Linked DNA regions of Caenorhabditis elegans. The protein of the gene in region 2 purifies or fractionates together with the protein of the main gene of each other region. This does not show direct contact. Each region holds a gene or a part of one and is shown on either strand. Other genes may lie near its edges.

What was found.
Region 1: the proteins of moma-1 (region 2) and ndub-10 fractionate together in Caenorhabditis elegans (co-fractionation; one large-scale study listed by BioGRID). This does not show direct contact.
Region 3: the proteins of moma-1 (region 2) and ndua-12 fractionate together in Caenorhabditis elegans (co-fractionation; one large-scale study listed by BioGRID). This does not show direct contact.

The regions. Positions count from the first base shown.
Region 1 is NC_003279.8:10,517,360-10,521,115, reverse strand, and holds ndub-10 (NADH dehydrogenase [ubiquinone] 1 beta subcomplex subunit 10), read right to left. Parts: upstream 1,757-3,756; 5' UTR 1,756-1,756; coding exon 1,599-1,755; intron 1,211-1,598; coding exon 648-1,210; intron 566-647; coding exon 503-565; 3' UTR 355-502; downstream 1-354. Other genes in the region: UPF0598 protein F59C6.12, read right to left, coding at 1-15, 58-140, 187-245; exos-3 (Exosome complex component RRP40), read right to left, coding at 1,955-2,194, 2,244-2,520, 2,572-2,735; nlp-4 (Transthyretin-like family protein), read left to right, coding at 3,214-3,216, 3,264-3,408, 3,458-3,747.
Region 2 is NC_003281.10:850,764-854,006, forward strand, and holds moma-1 (MICOS complex subunit MIC27), read right to left. Parts: upstream 1,634-3,243; coding exon 1,367-1,633; intron 1,071-1,366; coding exon 782-1,070; intron 733-781; coding exon 683-732; 3' UTR 568-682; downstream 1-567. Other genes in the region: rnp-5 (RRM domain-containing protein), read right to left, coding at 2,177-2,321, 2,374-3,015, 3,063-3,145. UniProt on the Caenorhabditis elegans protein: Sustains mitochondrial morphology probably through maintaining cristae morphology. May act as a component of the MICOS complex, a large protein complex of the mitochondria.
Region 3 is NC_003282.8:2,718,097-2,721,852, forward strand, and holds the start of ndua-12 (putative NADH dehydrogenase [ubiquinone] 1 alpha subcomplex subunit 12), read right to left. Parts: upstream 1,739-3,756; coding exon 1,638-1,738; intron 562-1,637; coding exon 406-561; intron 14-405; coding exon 1-13. Other genes in the region: ubxn-2 (UBX domain-containing protein 2), read right to left, coding at 2,469-2,613, 2,919-3,007. UniProt on the Caenorhabditis elegans protein: Accessory subunit of the mitochondrial membrane respiratory chain NADH dehydrogenase (Complex I), that is believed not to be involved in catalysis. Complex I functions in the transfer of electrons from NADH to the respiratory chain.

The DNA.
Region 1 (3,756 bases), on a different chromosome or scaffold from region 2:
TAAGAAACTGAATATCTGAAATTTCGATTTGTTAACAGTTTTTCCTGTAAAATAAACCTTTATAAGCCGCTGTAAAATTCTTCATTCTCGAATCGTCCAGAAATAGGAAACCATTGTGGCTCACATAGTAAAAATATTCTCTGAAAACTCAAATTCAAAAAGAAACAATTAATTTAAAAATAAAACCTTATTTTTCCGTTATACTGCCCCTGTGTGTAGAGACTTCGTGCAAATGTCAGTATCATTTCCGAAACTTAAAAAAGTTAAATTTTGATTTAAATTAATTTGAAAAGAAAAGCTGACTGGTAATATTTCCGTTTCTCATAAATTCATATTCAAATCTTTATAAATCAATCAAACAATCTACATTTATTCACTTTCTGAATGGAATAAAAGAACGCAACATGAAAAAGAAAAAAAAGTTGTTACGACGGAATAAGAAAACTCAACACAATTCGTTCTAAAAAATTTCATTGAAAAAGAAAAGATTGACAGCGTAGAATTAGAAGAGACGGAAGTCGGACTTCTTTCCTTGATCCTTGTCGAATTCTGGGTCTTGTGAGACCTGAAAATATAAAATTTTAATTTTCGATCCAGGATTCTCTCGTAGCTTCTTTTTTAAAATTAAATCTTGAAAGAATATTTACCTTCTTGTAGTATTCCCAATCCTTGGACAATGGCTTGTCACCCTCGAGTGCTGACTTGCTCATTTGGAACTCATATGGTGGCTCATAGTTCTTCTTGTCTTGATAGAACATTCCCTTCTTCCAGAATGAATAGTCAAACTCTCCATTAGCAAGTCGTGCTTTATGATCAGCAAGCTTAGCTGCACGCTCATCCATAATCTCTGGATGACGTCGTTCCCAGATCATTCGATGCTTCTGCTTCATATAAGCATCACGAACATCGGATTCTCCTCCCAACTCTCCGTATTTCATGAAGAAATTCAACTCATTCTCTTCCATATCCTCAATAACCTTGGCACATGGTGAATGATCAGGATTGTTGTAAAGCATACACCGATCAACACGTTGGCGGAGGGTTTGCAGAATAAATCCATCGACCATTTTATCAAGACGGTACTGCTCATTGGCTTCGTAGAAGCAGGCCTTGTCGTTCACTCCGCATTCGTCGATTTCCGGAACACGTGTAAGTTGACGGTGATAGTAGGGTAGACGGTTCTTGTTGTTGAGTGGTTGCACAATAGTCTCTGAAAAGCTGACGAGTTAGTAGAATAGATTAAAATGGATTGTTTTGCCTAGTTGATTTATTATGTGGAACTGCAACTACTAACTGTACATCAGCTTGAGGTAGTCGAATAACTTTGGTTTTTTTCTAGTTTAAAATTATAATTTACAGCAATGATATGGGAATTAGAAATTAACCTTTACTTGCACCACAAGTTCCCAAATTTTTTGAATCTGGATAAAACCGTAGACAGTATCAATTACTTGGAATTAAAACAAATGGTGAAAGTAAATAAACTTGAACGAAATTTGTTTTCTGTCAATTCTTACATTTTGTAAATGGTTTTAAATCTAATTTCAAAGCTGCTTCTTCTTTAAATGATTCTCCAACTTGAGAATTTTAAAAATTACCTCTGAACCAAGTTGCTGGGGCGTCGAAAGCCTTATGGGCATAATAACGGAATCGTGGGTAGATGGATCCTCGTGAATCGATATCACGAACTTTCCAGTAAGCATCCCAAGATGCTTTATCGTCAGCTTGACGTTGCTCCACTAAGCCTTCACCCATACTGAATGTCGAAAATTTTCCATTGTGAATTGAGAATATTGAGTAATAAATATTAAAACAACGAAGAAACGTTGAAAATTGAAATATTACATAGAACAAGACGATAAATTAAATTTTTAAAAAGTTCAACAACAAAAGGAAAAAAAAATCAACAATAGCAGGAATTACACTGAAAAATTAAAAATTGAGATAAAGATTCTTAATCACTGACAGATCGTGTGTAATTATTCTGAACCAGGGTGATAAGCTCATCTTCGTCAGTGATAAACTCTGATTTATTGATAATATCGTGAATCTTGATAATATCATCAGAAGTCGAAGCACTAATCCAGATTCTTCCGTTCATTCCAACAGTGATTTCGAATTTGAAGAACTTGCCAACAGTTTGAAGAATTTTGCAAGATGGGTTGATTAGTCGACGACAATGATTCAAGGAGACCTATAATAATTTTTAAATTTTACAATAAATAGTAAATTTCGTGTCTAACTTTGAACATGAATCCTCCATTTAGCTGTCCCATTCCACGTGCTCGTTTCTCGTCATCCACACAGGTAAGCTCTGCTTCAGTTCTTGGAGTTGTGTCGAAAACTGTTGCATAAATAATATCTCCAGTTTTTAGATTCGGCCTATTCCTTTTAGTAGCACCTTCGAAGTTAGTAAAGTTGATCATGGCGTATTCGGCAGTTCCTATGTCCAAACGAAAGAAATCACCAGTTTTTGAAGTGACAATAGCGATTACTCGGTCTCCTTCCTGTGGTATATATCTGAATTTAAGAAAAATTGTGATTTTAAATGTTGTTCGTGATCATTCTTACCTTTTGCTGTGAACATTTAACCAGACTTTTCCATCATCGTTGTGGAAAGCTCCAGGTTGAGTGGCAATTCTCGTTTGGCCACGTACACTAATTCCGTAGCCAATGATTGAGGAATCGCTTGAAGAAGGTTCATTGATAACGTCGCCAGGGAGATATACGGTCATTTCTGAAAATTGAATACTCAATGATGAACAAAATAACGTTTTAAAAAGTAGTGGCGAATAGAAAAACCAAATTTAAATACCGCAGGAGGAATAACGTAATAAGCTACGTTAATAAAGTGTTTTCAATGAGTATATTAACTGAAAATTGTAAATTTTTGCAATAAAATTAATCAAAAAGTGATAATATTTCGCAAAATAAACGGAAAAACTAGAAAAATAAGAAATAAAAATGGAGCGGCTGTTGAAAGTCTGCGACTTGACGTGACGGTGTTTGCGGTGTTGTATACCGTACCCATTGATTTTTATTTGATATGTTGGAAATTGCAATTAATATTAATTGTCAAGGACTAAAAGAAAAATAACACTGAAAACATAAATGCGTGGCAATTTTTTAAAATAAATATCGACACGTACACCGAGAAAAATTTAGTTTCAAATACAGTTCAACTGAGTTTTTAGTGGTCAAACTGGTTTGTAAATGGTATGTAATATAGTTAGGTTTTTTGAAGTTAAAGTTTTCCCATTCAGCTAGTTGTTGTTCTTTCCGGTATTATTGCCACGTGTCTGGCCGTGAAGCAGACAGATTTTTCCGTGCATATCAAAGGACAACTTGTGTGTGATGATGTCCCTGCTGCCAACATGCCAATGGACATTTTTTCTGAAGCACAAATGTGTAAGAGAGTTTGAAATCGTTCAACTGAATCTAAAATCTTTACTCTCAGTCAGATACGAAGATTTTATGGATCGATGGACAAACGAGAAAGGAGAATTTGATTTCAAAGCCTATGTGACAACTGATGCTTATATGATTACTCCTTATGTCGTTATCATTCACAGATGCTGGGAATCTAAAGAAGTTCCACATCGTTGCGATCGGAAAATCGTCCAACCAATCCCACCACTCAATGTCACTGTTAACTCGAAGACTCCTGATGAGAAGAAAGTGTACAACTTTGGAAAAGTCGATCTTCGCTTTAAGAATCCTGCCGAAGTTACTGTGAAATGTGGATAATAATAATTT
Region 2 (3,243 bases):
GATAATATTAAAATGAGGGGAAATAATACACAAATCGAAAAAAAAGTGGCGGGGTGATTATATGCCAAAATATGTACGAGCCACATTAAAATCATTTATAGCCATACATTTACACCCACTGAAAATTCAAAATTTTCTTGAAATTAAAATGCCCACCCATAATGCTGATCCCCCGCTGCCCTCTCGCCTTCTCACCAGAGATGTGCTGCACCTTTTTTGAAACTTTCGGAAAATTTACAAAATTTTTCTTTTTTCGTTGTTTAGACGAAGTTTTTATTGGAAATTTAAATTATTTTGATTTTGATTGAAAGTGAAAAGTTCCTAAAAAAAAAGTAAAAATATTTCTGTGTTCCAATATAAATTTTCCAATTTTATCAACAAAAAAATGTGCCGCGCCTCTCTTCTCACCATCCCCTAGATTAAATTTTTGCGGGTGACTTTCTCTCCCTTCCCCACCCTCGCCCGTTCTATATATATATTATATACATAAGATTTATTTTCTTAATTTGTCCAAAAAGTGCCTCCCTTTCTGTTTTTCTCAGTTTTTTTTTCTTCAAATTTTGCATAAAAATCGCATTTTTATTTCACTACTACAGGAACACTGGGTTCGGCGCACACACAAAAAAAGAAACCGCTAGACATTCGAGTGGATATTTTTTACACACAAACAATTATTTTCCAATTATTTCGGTGGGCTCAAGTTAGTTTTGACGATGGCAGATGGAGTTGGAGCTGAAAATTTTATTTATTTCTCTCTGATTTTCAGAAATTTCAAGCCTACATTCTTGGAAGGAATACCAAGTTTGTTCAGCATGAGCTCTTCCGGTCTTTGCCACGTCAACAGCCTCTATCGGATAACAAAAGGCGGCCATCGTGGCCAAGCCGATGGTAGTGGTGAGGAGACGTCCGACCGGGCCACGTTTCAGGCCTAAAACGAATCCGGCCATTCCACCAACGGTGATTGCTGCGGCTTTTGGAAGAGCAGTCCATTCTTCTGTCAGATATGCATTGCATTTGGTCGCCGCTTTTTTTGTTTGAGTCATCGCACAATCGACAACTTTGAAGCGTTCCTGAAACAAAAATCGGTGATAAAAATATATTTTTCACAAAATTAGTTTAATTTTTACTTTTACTCAATTTAATGATATTAAAAATTTTCAATTTCCTCTCGAAAATGGATATTTTCAATGTATTTTTTTCTTTTGTGAAACACATTCGGTTTTCACTTGAAAAAACTACAGATATCAAATAATTACTTAAATACAAAAAATTAGCTAAATAAAATAATCCAAACTCTTCTTTTAAAAAAAAACCAATTAAAAACGAAATATAATTTTTTCTCCACATAAAATCGCGTAAAACTCACAGCAACACGATCATACTCCTGCTCACATGCGATACGAATAGTCGCGAATTCTCTTTGAAGAGGAAGTGGCTCTTCTGGAAGGAATTTCTGCTTCAGTGGAGCATTATCTTCAGCATAAATCGGAAGTTGCTCAATCTTAATAGGTTTTGAATCTCCATTATTCGTCGTGTTTTTCGAGGTGACAAGTTGCCAGAATTGTCCAAAAACATTTGTCACTTGTTCACCGGCGTTTGAAATTGTCTCCACAATCGGCTTGTCTTGTGTCATCTGGAAAATCAAGCGGTAAAACAATAAAATAATAAAACAAGAATAAATATTTTAAAATTGATTAGCTTATTATAATTATTAAAAAACCATGAAGAAATAAGTATTCCTACATTTGTGGCGCAAAATATCTCGTAGCGCAGGCTCTGTGTCGATTTACGGAGTTTGTGTTTATTCACGATGCGCCTTTAAACAATTATTTAAAATTGATTTTCTTTGTATTTAATTACCACTTTTTCATAAATCGACACCGACGCCTGCGCTACTATATATTTCGCGCCAGGCTTTCTTGTTTTTTTTTTAAATATTTTCTAACATTTAAACCCCTCTGAGGACGGTTTTAAAATTAAAATAGATAATTAACAGGCAATTAACCATGTCTTTAACCAATCCAAATTACCCTTAAAACACCCAAAATAATTTATTAAAAAAACGAAAATTGGGGAGATCTTTTGCATAACAAAACAGAAGAATAATAAACAAAGGATGTTCAGAATTTGGACAGTTTAGAATGGGGTTTTAAAATGGAACGTCAGTAATGGAAGTTTAAGAACGCGATCTTCTGCCGGCTGGAGAACGAGAGCGGCTGGCACGGCGGAATCTGTTGGGCCCTCCAAGTGGCATATTGTTGGCTCCTGAGCCACGGCCGCCCATTGGAGAACGTCTGCGATGTGGTGGTGGACTGCGGCCTCTGGAATTTGATGAAAATTATCAAAATATACTACTTTTCCTTGATTACTTACCCTCTTCTCATTGGTGACATTCTGTCTCTTGGTGGCGGCGAGCGTCTTCTAAATGGAGAACTTCTACGCTGGAATGGGACAGATTGTCGTCCGATAGTCATTTCGACGTGAACAGCCATTCCATCGATTTGTCCTCCATCCATGTGCTTGATCGACTTTTCGGCGTCTTCCAAATTGTCATATTCAACGTATCCATATCCACGATGAACATGGTTATGGAAGCGATCTGGTGGAAGATCGACATTCTTGATGGCTCCGTAGATCGAGAAAATCTCCTCGAGGTGCGTTTTCAGAACATTTCTGCTCAAATTTTTGATCACTACACGCTTGGCCGGACTGGCTGATCTTGCTGCTGGGCTTCTCCTCGGAGAAGCGCGTCTCCTCTGACGGCTCCCGCTTCTGTCACGACGATCACGACGTGGTGGCGATGGGGATGGACGACGGCGACGTGGTGGTGATGGTGATGGTCGCATTGGGCGATCGCGATCCGCGCGTGCTCCTCTTGGCGGTGAACCACGACGGATTGGAGAACGAGAGCGTCCTCCACGAGCTGGTGGGCGGGTATCACGACGACGTGGTGAGCGAGAACGAGAACGGCCACTGGACGATGAGCTGGAGGAGCGAGATCCTGATGAACTACTTCTGAAATATCGATTATTAAGCTATTGTATGAAAATTGTAAAGCATACCCAGAAGATGACGATCCAGAGCTACTGGACGAGCTGCTTGAAGACGAGCGAGCCCTCTTTTTGGTTTCTTCTTTCTCAACCATACTGAAAAATTATTTCATATACTCGAATAGACATCAACTAAGTAAGAAAATTTTCACCGCGTGGTGTTCGAGCAGAAGAAGAGACAGAATGTTGGCTA
Region 3 (3,756 bases), on a different chromosome or scaffold from region 2:
GAGCCAAGAGTGCCTGGAAAATTAAAGAAAATGATGAAAAAATGAACAATTTTGCGCATTTTTACACGAAAATTAGGCTTGAAAATCGGTGACCGAACTTTCGGATTTCTAGGCCACCAGGTGAAAAGTTAGTCCACCATGTTTTCCGGACATTTTGAGTGATTTGGGCCAAATTTGAGTGGTGGAACTAACTTTTCACCTGGTGGCCTAGAAACCCAAAAGTTCGGCCACCGATTTTTTTTTCGATTTTCATGATTTTTATGTCATCTATTTTTATTTGTATTTGTCTAGGCCATTCTAGGCCATTTTCTAGGCCATTTCTAGGCCATTTTAGGCCGATCTAGGCCATTTTTCGTGTAAAAAACAGCAAAATTGTTCATTTTTCGTCGTCATTTTTTTGCGTACCATTCCGGTGGCACTTGAGTCGCATCATAGTCGAGCCAAACTTTGTCGGGAAACTCGACCCAACGGTTGCGTGGCACGAAATACGCGTTATTCTCGTAGTAACGATTGCCGAAATTGTCCGAACCGACGAGTGTTCCGACGCGGGTCGCGTCCATTCTGAAAATTTGAGAAGATTTTTATGTAAATTGAGCGAAAATGGTGTAAAATTGGCCTAAAAATCATCATTAAAAAACAAAAGAAATCGGTGGCCGAACTTTTCGATTTTCTAGGCCACCATGTGAAAAGTTAGTCCCCATCGATTTTCGCTCGTTTTCAGGTGATTTTAAGCGATTATAAGCCCGCGCGGACTAACTTTTCACTCGCTGGTCTAGAAAATCGAAAAGTTCGGCCACCGATTTTTTTTTCGGTTTTTTATGTTTCTCCGGTCATTTTTCCGACGCGAGTCATTCGAAAAATTCAATTTTTCAACCGAAATTTTGATGAAATTAAGCGAAAATAGTGTAAAATTGGCATAAAACTCATTAAAAAAAAAACGGTGGCCGAACTTTTCGATTTTCTAGGCCATCAGGTGAACAGTTAGTCCCCCACACAAAATTGACCTGACGTATCGCGCAGGATGTCCAAATGAAATTGGGGGACTAATTTATCACTTGGTGGCCTAGAAATCCAAAAAAGTTCAGCCTCCGATTTCTGACAGATTTCATGACAAATTTCGTACATTTTTTGAATTTTTTAATACTGAAAAATTCAAAAAAAAAATTCGTGGCCGAACTTTTCGATTTTCTAGGCCACCAGCTGAAAAGTTAGTCCCCGCTGATTTTCGCTCGTTTTCAGGTGATTTCAAGCGATTATCAACCCGCGGACTAACTTTTCACATGACGGCCTAGAAAATCGAAAAGTTAGGCCATCAATTTTTTGATGTATTTTTAAAAAATAAAATTCGATTGTTGTAAATCGAAAAAAAAAATTAAAAATTTGTCAGAAATCGGTGGCCGAACTTTTGGATTTCTAGGCCACCAAGTGAAAAATTAGTCCCCCAATTTTGTTTTGACATTCTGCGTGATAGGTCAGGTCAGTTTTGTGTGGGGGACTAACTTTTCACCTGATGGCCTAGAAAATCGAAAAGTTCGGCCACCGATTTTTTTTTCGATTTTTATGATTTTCAGGTAATTTTCGACCGTTTTTCTTCTAATTTAGTGCATTTTCAGCCATTTTTCCACCTGAAAACTTACAAATAACGCTTCTTAAGCACCGCTTTGACACCTCCAATCTCCTTGACCATTTGGCCAAACTTTTGGATTTTATCGATTCCCAGCCACGCTTTCAGGGACATCTGTAATGTAAATTTGGTTGGAAAAATGGGAAATTTTAACGGAATGTGGGGAGGAAAAACCAAGCATTTTGTGAATTTTTTCAAAAAAAAATTTTTTATAAATTTTTTGGCGAAAAACTCCATATTTCCTGTGAAATATGATATTTTTCGAGTTTTTCACTGAAAAATCTTGAATTTTTTGAAAAAAATCAGGGAAAAATCGATTTTTCAGTGGAAAATTGGAACAAAAAAAGTGAATTTTTACATTTTTTGAAAACTTTAAATTTTTCACCAAAAAATCGCAGAAGAAGGATTTTTCTCTCTGAAAAATTGGGAAAAAATCTGAAAAATTCAAAATTTGACTTTAAAATTGAATTTTTAATGGAAAATTTGTAAAAAATGTGCATTTTTCACTAAAAATTGAAAAATTCTGAAAATCTGGAAAAAATAAAAAAAATATTTCAGAGCTTGAAAAACTCGCAAATTCCAAAACAAAAAATCAATAAAAATCGCCGCAATTTTTCACAGAAAACGGTGTACTTTTTTTATGCATTAAAGTGTGATAGAAGAAAGAAAAAAAACGATATTGGGAAATGGGGGGAAAAAATCAAATAATTTAGCGTAAAATACAGGTATTTTCAGGGAATTTGAGAGGTTTTGGGGGGTAAAAACGAGTAGAAATTCGAAATTTTTTCAGATGAAATTTTCAATTTTCAATTTTCCCGCCAAAAAAGCAGCGTCAGGAATCTCCTCAGTTGGTGGTGGGCAAGATTTTCACGGCGACGACCGAATTGAGCACATTTGCATCCTTCAGAGTCTGTGATTCGTCTTCAAATGGTTTTGGAGGGTAGGCAGCCATCATTTGGAATGGAGCGTAGATCATATCTGGGCGGGCGCTGGAAAATCAAAATTTTTAAATTAAAAAAATTTGAGTTTTTTGAAAGAAAAAACTAGAAAAATGTAATTTTTTAATTTGAAAAATGTAATTTTTTAATTTGAAAAATGTAATTTTTCTATCACTGTGTATATCAGAAAAATATTATTAAAAAATAATTATTCATTGGAAAATTTCGAATTTTTCAGGCTAAAAATGTGATTTTTAGATGATTTTTTTATTTTTTTAATTCGAAATTTTCTAAAAATCTACTTTTTCTAGTGAAAAATGAGAGTTTTTAATAGCTTTTTCCGGCTGAAAACTCACGTGCAAATGAATGTACGAACTGCTTCAAGTGTGTGAGAATGATTAAAAATACCGACGAGACGCTGATTGTTTGGCAGACGGATTTGGATCTGAAAATTTTGTTAAAATTAATCAAAATATCAGGAAAGAAGCCACAATTCGACTGAAAATCTATAATTAGAGCCTGAAATTTTTTTTTTTCGAAAAAGTAGATTTTTCTCCGTTTTTTTTGTGTTTAAAATCATATGAATTTTGTAGATTTTTATCGATTTTTTTTTGCCAATTTTTATTGATTTTTTGAAGGATTTTACGACCTTTTTGTGATATTTTTATTGATTTTTCACGTTTTTTTCAGGAAAAAAATCTGATTTTTTCCCAGAAAATGAGCGTCGGAGAGCAGAAAAGCGTCCTGATGGTGTGTTTAGGTACGGTTTTTAGGTGAAAAATAGGTGGCCGAGGTTTGGGTTTCTAGGCCAGCAATTTTTTATTTGGAAAATTGACGAAAAAACGGTCAAATTTGCGCGAAAAAAATTGGTGGCCGACTTTTTAAAACAGTTAGGCCACCGATTTTTTTCGGGTTTCCCATCGAATAATTAGTAATTCAGCACATTTTTGTGAAAAATTGGAAGAAAATAAAATTTTAAAAGTCGATGGCCGAACTTTTGAATTTCTAGGCCACCAACTGAGATGTTAGTCCTCCACAAACGTCTTCTTGCCATTTTGAATTGTGTCTAGCTATTTTCAAATGGGCTGGACTAACTTTTCACTTGATGGTCTAGAAATCCGAAAGTTCGGCCACCGATTTTTTTTCCCAATTTAAGCGAATTTTTGAATATTTTATTATCAGAATCATTTAATT